Cricetulus griseus: one gene and its partners. The protein of the gene in region 2 interacts with the protein of the main gene of each other region in a biochemical or structural test. Links are inferred from orthologs where the notes say so. Each region holds a gene or a part of one and is shown on either strand. Other genes may lie near its edges.

Evidence for each region.
Region 1: of the proteins of Zfp36 (region 2) and Mapkapk2, one has a biochemical effect on the other in vitro, tested with the Homo sapiens proteins (2 studies listed by BioGRID). The link is inferred for Cricetulus griseus from reciprocal best matches to the Homo sapiens genes ZFP36 and MAPKAPK2.
Region 3: the proteins of Zfp36 (region 2) and Ywhab form a complex in vitro, tested with the Homo sapiens proteins (2 studies listed by BioGRID). The link is inferred for Cricetulus griseus from reciprocal best matches to the Homo sapiens genes ZFP36 and YWHAB.

The regions. Positions count from the first base shown.
Region 1 is NC_048598.1:57,962,771-57,966,903, reverse strand, and holds the start of Mapkapk2 (MAP kinase-activated protein kinase 2), read right to left. Parts: upstream 2,857-4,133; 5' UTR 2,552-2,856; coding exon 2,315-2,551; intron 1-2,314. UniProt on the Homo sapiens protein: Stress-activated serine/threonine-protein kinase involved in cytokine production, endocytosis, reorganization of the cytoskeleton, cell migration, cell cycle control, chromatin remodeling, DNA damage response and transcriptional regulation.
Region 2 is NC_048602.1:7,508,776-7,513,021, reverse strand, and holds Zfp36 (mRNA decay activator protein ZFP36), read right to left. Parts: upstream 2,859-4,246; 5' UTR 2,773-2,858; coding exon 2,749-2,772; intron 2,072-2,748; coding exon 1,127-2,071; 3' UTR 356-1,126; downstream 1-355. Other genes in the region: putative uncharacterized protein FLJ46214, read right to left, coding at 2,859-3,231. UniProt on the Homo sapiens protein: Zinc-finger RNA-binding protein that destabilizes several cytoplasmic AU-rich element (ARE)-containing mRNA transcripts by promoting their poly(A) tail removal or deadenylation, and hence provide a mechanism for attenuating protein synthesis.
Region 3 is NC_048599.1:15,508,067-15,511,633, forward strand, and holds part of Ywhab (14-3-3 protein beta/alpha), read right to left. Parts: intron 2,816-3,567; 5' UTR 2,814-2,815; coding exon 2,514-2,813; intron 419-2,513; coding exon 295-418; intron 1-294. UniProt on the Homo sapiens protein: Adapter protein implicated in the regulation of a large spectrum of both general and specialized signaling pathways. Binds to a large number of partners, usually by recognition of a phosphoserine or phosphothreonine motif.

The DNA of each region.
Region 1 (4,133 bases), on a different chromosome or scaffold from region 2:
CACTTGCAGGTATGTGTGCAGCAAACATATAAACATGAGCACAGAAGCCAGACGAGGTGTCTGAATCCCTGGAACTGGAGTTACAGTTCTCTGTAAGAGCAACAAATGCTCCTCCTAACTGCTAAGCCATCTCTGGATCATTCTTAAAGCTCTGGTTTTACTTACTAGCATGAACCTATGAGCAGCCTTTATTTCCCATCATATCTTAGGGCTACAAGACAGCAGCCTTCCAAAACCCCATGAGAGCCAGGCTGCTTGGCTACACTATGCCCTGAGTCCCTTGCCATGGGGCTCAGGACACTACAGAGCACAGGTCTCATCTTATCAATCCAAAGGGTCACCAACACAGCCTGTTCCACTATATCCTCTTCCCTTGCTGTCCCATAAAAGGCTCCTTGTTTTGACATTGTTTCACTACTCAGCACCTAAAGTTTTTAAAGTATAAACTGTAGAAATCTCTGTGGTGCCTGTCACTGAAATGGGATTTCTTTTAACCAGATTCCCCAGGGTTGTGATTATGACTTAGTCAATATTTGGGTAGGAACATGCTGGTGACTGCTGTGCTGACATTCTCCAAACATCTTGGCTCTCCTTCCTTCCTCTATTATTAAATCTTAACACATAGATGTATGAGAAATCTGCAATTTAACAGTTGAGTCAGCTTCTAAGATCCAGGAGCAGGCTGCCTGTCAAAACAGACTCCAACTTCAATCTTCACCCACTTCTGACTACAGAAGGATAAGCACAAGGATTGTTTAATATGCTGCTAGGGGTTTTCTTTTCAAAACTATTCAAAGGAGGAAAAAATACACAAACTTCTCTTTGTTAATTATACCAGAAATCTTAAGTGACAGCCTAGGATAGTGTGTGTGTTTAAGCAGAACAGGAAGGGAGAAGGGGGTTTGTTGTGAAGTCCTTATATTGTGTTCCAACTATCCAGGAGAATGAACAGCCAGAGTACCCCAGTCTGCTGATCCGTAAAGGCAGATGGCATCTCAGAGGAGGGAGAAATCTTTCTGGGAAAGAACATCTGTCACTTCCTCAACAATACAGTTAGCTGTGGTCAAACTGTGCACTCACCTCCAGTCCCCAAGGTCAGAGCCACATCATCCCAATCAAGTCCTTTCCTCACTTAGCTACTAATACGGATGGAAAGGGAAGTGAAAAGTACAATTATTGCAGTATCCAAGGCAGGGTAAGAGTCCCTCCCCTACACTCAACACCAAGCAACAACCAAGATCCTGCAGCAAGAGCTTATAGAAGGGGAAAAAAAAAAAAAACTGATGCTGAGGATGAAAATAGCAAAAACATTATCACAGAAATTAGACTTATTTGCCCCCTACAAAGTACCGGGGTTTTAGTCCCGTTGATGGTATATGACAACAGTCTCACCCGCAACTCATGTGTAATATATAATAACTGAAACAAAGCAAGCTGTGTGGGCTGAAGGGGAAGAGAAAAATATAACACAGGAAGTAGTTCGCTCCTCCAATCATTGAGACACCCCAGGGGAAAGAAACCTGACAAGTGACCTTTAGAGATATGGCGTAACTTGAAACCCTTGGGAGAAGAAAACTTTGTAGTGACCCTGAATGACAGACTAACACTTCACTGGGACCTTTTGAAATCCCCATTCCCCACTACCAAAGAAACAGAGACACAAAGACACAGAAAGAAACGGATCCACCTAGAGAGATGAGTGGCTTTCCCAAACACAAGAACAGGGTTTCCTGCCTTGAAGTTGCCAGCTACCAGGACCAAAGTAGGCTTGCAGAACTAGCACTGGGCCGAGCCTGGCTTACGCATGAGGTTTCCCACAGTGCATGGAGCAATGGAAACCGCGCGGCGGAGCCTGCGGGGCAGCGCAGGCCAGACGCTGGCGGTTCCAGACAATCGCGGGGCACGGAGGCGGGGTCCCCAGTCTCCAGCGCCGCGCCGACGCGCCCCACCACTGCGCGCCGACCTCGCGAGGCCGGGGAGAGCGAAGTCACTTTCCGGCTCCCAAATAAGGAGCAGGGTTAAGTAAACCTCAGAGAGCGAACTTCTCCAAACCGACCGACCAACCAGCTCAATGAGTAAAGGGCCTTTTGTGCCCGCAGAAAGGAAGGAGGGAGGGAGAGGGGATGGGGCCGCCGTGTCCTCGGCTCCGGGCGAAGAGAGAAGAGGCCGTCCGGGACCCAAGCGTGACCACGGGCTGGATCCCACTCACACCCCAACATGGCAGTCCCCGGGAGTCCTCTCGGGTCCCGGCCACTCGCGGGGTGACCGGAAGCTGCCCCGGATCCCATTGCGCTCCACGGCGGCCCGGACTTACCTTCAGGGCGAATTTTTGCTGGGTTCTCTTGTCGAAGATCCGCAGCACCTTCCCATTGATGCCCAGGCCCAGCACCTGGCTGGTGACCTTGTAGTCATCGGTGATTGCGTTCTTTCGGATCTGCAGGCCCGACTTGACGTGGAACTGGGGGAACGGCGGCGGCGGCTGGGCCGGGGCGGGAGGCGGCGGGCTGGGGAACGGCGCCGGCGGAGTCTGGCCGGGAGAGCCGGACAGCATGGTGCCCGGGGACTCGCGCGCAGAGGCGGGGGCCGCGGCCGCCCCCTCCTCCGGCTCGGGCCCGGGTCCCCGCCACGCCCCGCCCGGCGGCGAAGTTTGCTCCGGGCTGGAGCCGGCTGCCCCGCCCCGGCCCGGCTCCAGGCTCGGCGGGTCGCGGGGCCCCGTGGGTCCCGCTGTGCGCCGCGGGCGCCCACCAGCCCTGCTCCCTCCCCCCGGAGACGAGCGCTCCGGGGAACGCGGGACGGCGGGGCCCGGCCGGGGGGGAAATCGCCGCGCCGAGAAGTAGCAGCCCCGGGGGCGGCGGCCGCGTCACAGGCTGCTCGGCGTCCTGGGCTAGTCCTTAAAGGGGAGGATCGAGGGTGGGGCTTGGGGGAGGCGTGGGCATGGGGGAGGGGTGGGCCTTAAAGGGGAGGATGTCCAGCGGCGGGAGAGCAGAGGGACCTAGTTGGCAGGGACTGCGAGCTGGCCCAGGTCAGGGAGAGACCACCGAGAAATCCTAGTTCTTAACCAGGGCCTGGCAAAGGGAACGGCGAGGGCAAAAGAAAAGCGACTGGATAATTCAAACAAAATCTGTAGTTCTCCAGCTGCTGGAATCTAGAAGATAGGTCATCGGAGAATTTGGAGAGGATGTGTATTTTGAAAGAAACGAATGGCTGATAAAAATCTGCCTACGTGGCCCCTAGGATATGTGGGGTACTGGGGCAGCGATAGGGTTACCGAGGCTATTCATCAGGTGTCAGGCAATAGTAACGATTTCCTTAACATTCCTGTGCCTTTTACATTTTTTTTCTCATGGGTTTACTGTTTTTCATTAAAAATGCATTGCTGTGCAATCATGAACAATTCAGTTATTGTGCTTTGAGCATATTTTTAATGTAAATCCAAGATGGGAAAAAGATGGGGCACTGTGGACCCCTGTAATCCCTGCTATGCACAGAAAGCTGAAGCAGAAGGATGACAAGTCAGAGGGTCAGCCTGAGCAACAAAGGCACAGTATCGCAAAACACCCACAAATCACCGTGCCTCTCCAGTATATACCTTTTCATTGTTTCTGAATTCATGGAGCTAACATAGCAAGGGGGAAGGGCAGGAGACTGGTTCTAGGGTTGGGGGAATTTATCCCTGAGGCTACAAACAGTAAGAAGTATTTCTGAAGCAACCTAGTTCTAGTACAAGTTTCTGAGGAAAAGGGGCCTCACTGGCCCATAGTGTAGCTGAGATCCACAAGGGTTTGACTGTTAGAGTGGTTGAGAAATGAAATGAAGGAACAAAATAGCTACACAGTTCCAGTTTACTTACAGATACAGACAAATTAGAGATGGAGCCTGACCTATGGCCACAGACAGTCTCTAATGTGTTCCAAGAAAACTCTGGAGATGAGGCAGTATCCTGAGAAAAGGGTCTTGGAGACATAGCCTAGGAGAGTAAGGCTCTTTTGCTAGTGTCTACTCCCTGTTCAGATTTTCAGAAGACGCTTGTCCCAAGGAAGGCAGAGATGAAAAAGTGAAGGACTGTAGTCACCCTTTCAGGATCCAGCAAAACTCACTGTGGAACAAGGAGACAACTGGTCCCCTTTCAAGTA
Region 2 (4,246 bases):
GCTTCGGGGTGACCCCCTGCCCCTGGCCGCCCCGGCTCGCGTTCCGGCACATTCCGTCCTCCCCGCCCCGCCCCTCCCCTCCCTCCACCCTTGGCCTCATGGGGACGGAAACATCCCGTCCCTGCCCGAGCTGGGTCAAGAGCCGGAGGGACAGGCCTGGAGCGCCCCCAACGCCAGAACTAGCTCTCCTGGTTTCTGCTGGGTGACCTCACCTCACCACGCCCCCTCAGGTGAACCAACCGGAGGGGAGCGTCACTTCCTGCCAGGTAAGCGCCCAGAGGCTGCCCGGCGAGGCTGGAGGTCAGTTTGCCCACCATCCCACAGCTGTGGCCCGTGAAAATAAAGCAATTCCATCTCAGTTCGCACTTGGGATTTTATTTAAAAATTCCATAAAACCACAAAAATAGACCTGTAAGGTAGCAATATATTACTTAATATATTATAGTATACTTAATACAGTATCCATTTTAATATTACAAAAAGAAAACACGAAGTAGACGACCCAATATATATAAATACTATAAAATCTTATTACAATAAATAAAAGTCGTCATAAATAAAGGGCCCACTGGTTGGAGAAGGGATTTGGCAATGGCTTTGGCTATTTGCTTTCGGAGGGAAATTTGAGCACCAGGATTCTCCGTCAGGGGAGGCTTCAACCACCAGACACTGAAACTCCGGGTCTAGTAAAAACTGGGATGGGGTTGTGGGAGCCAGCTCTTCACAGCACTTAAGATTCCAGGAGACCAGAGTTGGGGAGGGGGCTGGTGCATGCCTATATAACACCAAAACTTAGGAATCTAAGGAAGGATTATCTCAAGTTCAAAGACAGCCTGGGCTCTATACTAAGCCCTATCTCAGAAGCAACCCAAAAGAGTTGGGCCTGGAAGACCAACTGTCAACTGTCCCCCACAAAAATGCTACATTTTAGGTACCTCATGAACCAATACACCCAAACACTGAATTTGCAAACTAGGGACCTGCCCCAGCACAGCACCAGGGGAGTGGGTTAATGCATTTTGGAATGTCAGGGAGGCACTTAGGGATTTAGGAGTCCCCCCCTAGGTCCCCACAACAATAAGCAACCCTCTTGAGATCTAGCTGACCCACACTAGTTAGGCATTTGTCACTCAGAAACAGAGATGCGATTGAAGATGGGGAGACGCCTTGGGGGTGCAGTGGGTGGGGGAGGCCCAAACACCCCAGCTTCAAAGACGGGTGAGTCTGACCCACCCAGGCTGCTGCCGCTGCTGGCATAGTCATCTGGATCGGATCCCAGGGAGTGTGCAGATGGGCTCCGAGCCAGGCCACCCAAGGGCCCCCAGATGGTGTTAGGGGTTGACCTTCGGCAGGAGGGGCAGCAGGCTGGAACGGGGTCTCTTCGAGTCACAGGGGTCCCAGGGGCAGCAGAGAAGGCAGAAGGGGAAAGTGGAAGGTCCCCGGGTGGTGGTGGGGAGCTAGAGGGTGAAAAGGAACATGAGGACAGGGAAGGGCCAGGAAAGCCTGGTGGCGGCGGCGAGGTTCTGCGGCCAGAGGGCAAGCCCGAGAAGCTGATGCTTTGTCGAAGCACATGGGGCTGGCCCGGGGCAGCCAGGTCTTCGTTGGGGTTGTGGATGAAGTGGCATCGAGAGCCATAGGGACAGCGGCCCTGGAGGTAGAACTTGTGGCAGAGTTCCGTTTTGTACTTGGGGTGTCGATTGGCCTGGCGCAATTCACCCAGGCCGTGGGCAAACTGGCACTTGGCCCCGTATCGACAACGCCCGCTCTCCGAGTAGGTCCGACAGAGCTCGGTCTTGTACCGGGAGGCGGTGGTGGTGGTGGTGGTGGGAGTCGCAGTAGGCGAAGTCGGTGAGGGTGACAGTTCAGGGCCCGGGCGGGGAGCCAAGGGTGCAAAACCCGGGGGTGGGGGCACCCAACCGCAGCTTCGGCCCTCCACCAGGCTGGTGGAGCGGCCGGTCAGGCGGGAAGTGACCCCGGCTGGGATGGAGTCAGACGAGTTTATGCTCCAAAAGACCGAGGGGTCGGTCCCTCCGTGGTCGGATGACAGGTCTGGGCCCAACGACAGGAGGCTCTGAGAGGAACAGGGTTCGGTTAGGCCACCAGAAAAGGTGAGGTGACGACGCCCCGCCCGCCCCGGTTTGTAAATAACTTCACAAGCTTGCCATTCCGGTTTGTGGGTTCTGGGTGCTGAGCCCCACCCGGATCACACCAAGTCCGGGGGAGAACCTGATGGTGGGGGATCTGAGGGTTTCCACGCCTCCGAAGCTGAGCCAGGAGGACCCAGGAAGCCCGGTGTCCCCGACTGAGCCAGACACGGCACCCCCAAATCAGAGGACACAACTGCGCCCCAACTTCGGGCCTCTAGACCTCCCCGGATATGACCGCCCATGGGCGCTCCAGTTTCACAAACTTGGAGGAGGGACCGGTCAAAGCCGACCCAGACCAGATCTCTCTCTCTCTCTCTCTCTCTCTCTCCAACTCCCCCCAGCCCTACCCTACACTAGCTGGGGCGACAAACGGCGCGCGAGGCGGGCGAGGGGACCGGGCAGGTGCGGGGCCACTTCCGCCCCGCGCCAGTGACACCAGCGCGCCAGCTCTCGGTCCCCGGGGCCGGCAGGCGCCGGGCTCCGGGCTCGTGGGCGCCCCTGGCTCACCACCCGGAGCCGAGCCGGGCAGGTCAGGGTAGGGCAGGGCAGGGCAGGGCTGGGGCTCCGGAGGACTCGGGAGTGCCGTGCGGGCAGCACTCACCTCGTAGATGGCAGAGAGGTCCATGGTGGCGCGAACGGCCGTGGAGAGGAGGAGACCGTGGCTCGGGCCGCACAAGTCTGGCTGTGGCCGGCGGCGCGAGCTTTCCTTCTTTATAAGAGCTTGCGGCCTGGGGGGCGTGGCGGGGGCGTGGCCAAGGGCGCTTCCCGGACGCGCCCCCGCGGGGTCAGCCCAGCCCACCGGGGGACTCGGCCCCTTCCGCCCCTCGGCTGGCTCGTTACTTTGCTTGAATGTGCCCCAACTCGGCTCGCGGGCAGCCCCGGCCCGTCTCGGGGCGGTGTAGCCGGGGCTTTGTCACCCTGATGGTTAGCGGGGCGTCGGAGTAGTTTTGGAAGGTTGGCGACGATCGGGAAGGGAGCTGGGGTAGGAGGAGTGGGGGCAGGGCCCCGGGGACAATTGACAAGGGCAGGGACCCGGGAGGGCGTGGGCGTGTGAGACACACCGGGGCGGGGCGGGGAGAGACATCTGCAAGAGACGGAGATGGCCAGAGGCCGGGAGGAAAACAGAGACAGACGTACGCAAGTTAGGACAGCCACTCGGGGAGGCTGAGGCAGGAGGCTGCAAAAATTACTATAGAGGGAGTTCTAGGGCCCCCTGGGTAACATGGTGGGACCTTTGTCTTAAGAAGTAAAACGGGGGCCCCCGGCGTTGGTGGCGCACGCCTTTAGTCCCAGCACTCGGGAGGCAGAGGCAGGTGGATCTCTGTAAGTTCGAGGCCAGCCTGGTCTGCAGAGCGAGTGCCAGGATAGGCTCCAAAGCTACAGAGAAACCCTGTCTCGAAAAACTTAAAAAAAAAGGGGGTTAGCCAGAGGATAGTGTGGCTCGCCTTTAATCCCAGCACTTAGGTGGCAGGGGCAGGCGCATCTCTGAGTTCCAGGCCAGCCTGGTCTACAAAGCGAGTTCCAGTTCATCCAAGACTACGCAGAGGAACCCTGCCTCGAAAAAACAAACTAAAAATAAAAAAGGGCCAGGCGGTGGTTGGCACAGTGGCCATTAAAACCAGTTTGATCCCAGCACTCTGAGACAGAGGCAGGCGGATCTGTTGAGTTCGAGGCCAGCCTGGTCTCCAGAGTGAATTCCAGAACAGCCATGGCTACACAGAAAACCAAGTTTAAAAACAACGCCTGCGCTGCCGGGGGTGTTAGCGCACGCCTTTAATCGCAGCACTTGGGAGGCAGAGGCAGGCGGATCTCTGAGTTCAAGGCCAGCCTGGTCTACAAGAGCAAGTTCCAGGACAGGCTCCAAAGCTACACAGAGAAAACTCTGTCTCAAAAAACAAACAACCTAAAGTCCCACAAACCAGCCAGTAGCATATGGCTGTCATCACGGCATTTCAGAGGTGGGGGGAGATGAAATCAGGCGTTCAGTGCCAGTCTCAGTATTGATCGAGTTCCAGGTCCGATTTCTAAAAAGAGAAACCACTAAGGTGGGGGAGGGGGGGATAAAGAAGGCTCGGTGCTACAGTGGCTACTTGGCTCCA
Region 3 (3,567 bases), on a different chromosome or scaffold from region 2:
CTCACAGAGATCCACCTACCTCTGCCTCCCCAGTGCTGGGATTAAAGGTGTGTGCCACCACTGCCCAGCTCTCTCTCTCTTTTTTAAAGATTTTATATTATGCATACAACATTCTGCTTCCATATACATATCTGCACACCAAAAGAGGGCACCAGATCTCATAACAGATGGTTGTGAGCCACCATGTGGTTGCTGGGAATTGAACTCAGGACCTCTAGAAGAGCAGCCACTGCTCTTAACCTCTGAGCCAGCTCTCCAGCCCCCCTCCTACTATTTCTTAAAAACATTACTTACTTTGTTTATTGTCTCCAGATGCAACCTCAGAAAGATACCTAAAATAGTCTCCTTTCATTTTCAAGTAGAACACCTTGCTTTCTGGCTGTGTAGCATTGGGAATGAGATATTTGTCCAACAGCTCCTAAAAAGTGATTCACATTAAGAATTTTGAATTGTTTCTGAGATGTTAAAATTACATTTGCGATTCAAGATATGCACTACTACTACTACTGATTTTTCTGAAGACTAAAAACAACAACAAAAAAACCCCCTAAACCAACAAACAGAAAAACCTAACCAACTTTCATCCAAGCTACTAAATACCGTTTAGCCAAGTCCTAAGAGCAGAAGCCTGTACCCTTCACTTACAAGTCCTCTGACCACCGTAAGGGCTGGCTATAATGCAGCTACTACAATGGGATGCGATATAAAAAGGATGGCACAGAACTGCATTGCTCACACAAATCTAGCTGGAAAAGACTATCAACAAAAGAATCTCACTTTAGTATTAAAATAAGCATGGGTACATGCACACAAAAATGTGGGGAAGCCTTGGAGGATTCTAGGAACAATGCTTCTCTGGATAATAGCATTAGAAGTGACTTTTAGTTCTTAACTCTTCTGTCCATCTTGTAGAAACAAACAAACTCCCCCCCCCCCCATTTAAACTTTTATTACTTCTGTAATTTTGAGTGTGTGTGTGTCTTTCTATTCTGGGAAGGGAAAAAAAAAGCAGCAATAGAACAAAACAGCAAGAACTCAGTTTAAAATTGATCTGACCTGGGAAGAAAACCTTCTTCTGATGCTTACTGTTTGTTTCCACATGACCTGGAGAGGAGGCTGAGGACCCCAAGCCTCAGATTCCTTGGTTGTACAGCGGGGAGGGGCAAGGGGACCAGCATGGCCACCTTCTAAGGTAGTTATAAGGACAAGCGAGGTAACATCTAGTGCTTAACACGTTGCTTGGCACGTAGTAAGCACTCAGAGAGTCTAGTACTATTATTAATAACAAATTCCTTTAAACATTTATGCTTACAACAAAAGTAGTTCTGAAGGAGTCCAAGCTTCGTATACAGAGCAATATTTTCGAAGAGTTGTTTTAGAATGTGGCATCCTGAAAAACTGGTTAAGAGGCAGTAAGTACCATGCTCTTCTTCATACTCTTTCAGATGCTCTTAAAAGCTGGTCTACAATTCAGGAATTATGGAACTCTCTTGCCTTTGGAATGCAAGCCATACTTCATCTGAATACCAGATGTACCTAACATTCAGGAATTAGTGCACCATTAACAAACCCCCAAACAATCGACAGGCAAAAAGTTTAGCCATGAAACTTTTATCTTACACTAAGAATCTAATAAAGAGAAAGGCTCAAAGCACAGCTCAGCTACCAAGGATTTCATTAATCAATGTCAAAGTATGCAAGAGGTAGTAGCTGTTTTAAAGTACTGTGCAGAAGGGCGTAACCCCGTGGGTTAAGGGTGAAGAATGCGCATGACAGCTGACAAGCTTTATATTGGTTTTCAAAAGAAGATGTCAAGGGAGGTAATCTGGGAAGACAGAGAGTAGGGCAGGAAGGAAATCAACAAGTGTTAATCCCTTTCCCTTTAAAGCAGCCCTCATAGTTAAGTTTTACCTGATTTCACATAGGAAATAAAATTCCCAGTGTGCTCCAGATATGAGCGAAAGAATATAATCATTAAGTGTTTTAGGACTGGCAACCCTCCCACCCAAGCCCACATGTAGTTAGAAGGAACTACACCTGACTATAGTATACATAACACACGGGAAAAGCCCCATACCACCTTTGGTTTGGCTTTGGACTGTACATTGCAGTTGACAGAATGTGCCAAACCTTCAACATCAGATTGCTACACTTTGTGAGGGCAGGACCAAGGAGAGGCTGAAAGGCCTTTCCATCTCTTCCTTTCCAGAGACGATTCACTCCCTAGAGCAACCCACTCGTGACTGCATCTTTCTAACTAACCTCTCCATCTGGCCTCATTTCTAAAGAAAAATGGAGGAATGTTGATGAAATGTTATGTTTGTTGCAAGCCTTTTTGAGAGGAGAAGGAAAACATCCCAGAAATGATCAACTGATCAGAAAGGATGATAAAAATTATATCATATTCTTTAGATCAAGTTACAAATGGCTTTCACTCTTTCCTAAGTTGTTTGAGTTTGTATCTGGACCATGATGCCTAGGATGAGTGTGAAAAGCACAAGTGCAGCCCTCACCAGTACGTCATTGCAGATGTCCTGCAGCTCAGCCTCTATCTTCTCACGGTACTCTTTGCCCATCTGTTGCTTCTTCTCATTCCTCTCTGTTTTCTGTTCGATGCTGGAGATAACACGCCAGGAAGAACGGCGGGCACCTACCACATTCTTGTAGGCAACAGAGAGTAGATTTCTCTCTTCATTGGAGAGTTCATGTCCCTGTTCTGTTACAGCCTTCATAGCTGCAGCCATATCATCGTAGCGCTCAGCTTGCTCAGCAAGTTTGGCTTTCTGTACCAGCTCACTTTTGTCCATGGTCATTCCTAGAACAGCAGCAAGAGCACAGAGAAAGCAATGTCAGGCTACCAGCATACTCAGAAGCACAGCCCCCAATGCCATCAAGAATGTGGATCATGTACTGAATATCTACAGTCAGGACTGGGCTGAGGCCTTTGTTACCAACAATCCTACATGGAATATTCCCAATAACCCTTCCACCTTCTTAGAAAACATAAATATTGGGGCTGGAGAGATGGCTCAGCGGTTAAGAGCACTGACTGCTCTTCCAGAGGTCCTGAGTTCAATTCCCAGCAACCACATGGTGGCTCACAACCATCTGTTATGAGATCTGGTGCCCTCTTCTGGTGTGCAGATATATATATGGAAGCAGAATGTTGTATGCATAATAAATAAATAAAAAAAATCTTAAAAAAAACACATAAATATTAAGAGAGAAAATAATGGACCCAGAATACCACCGCAAATAAGAGTTAAGGCTTTCAGCTTGCCTGTCTCTTCTTTCTATAACTTGCTTGTTCCATTATCCTACCATCCTCCCCGATACACAGAAACTGCTGAGAAACTACTTGCTTTTAGACATTTCCATGTTCATGCACATGGAAGAGTGCACACATGGACACGTATGAAGAAGAGAGGGCAATTGTTGGAGCTGGTTCTCTCTCTGCACCATATGGGTTTCAGGGATTGAACTCAAGTTTGGCAACAATCTCCCTTTCCTGCTAAGCCATCTTGACAGTACCCTCAACAACTTTTTTTTTTTTTTTTAAGTTTAAAC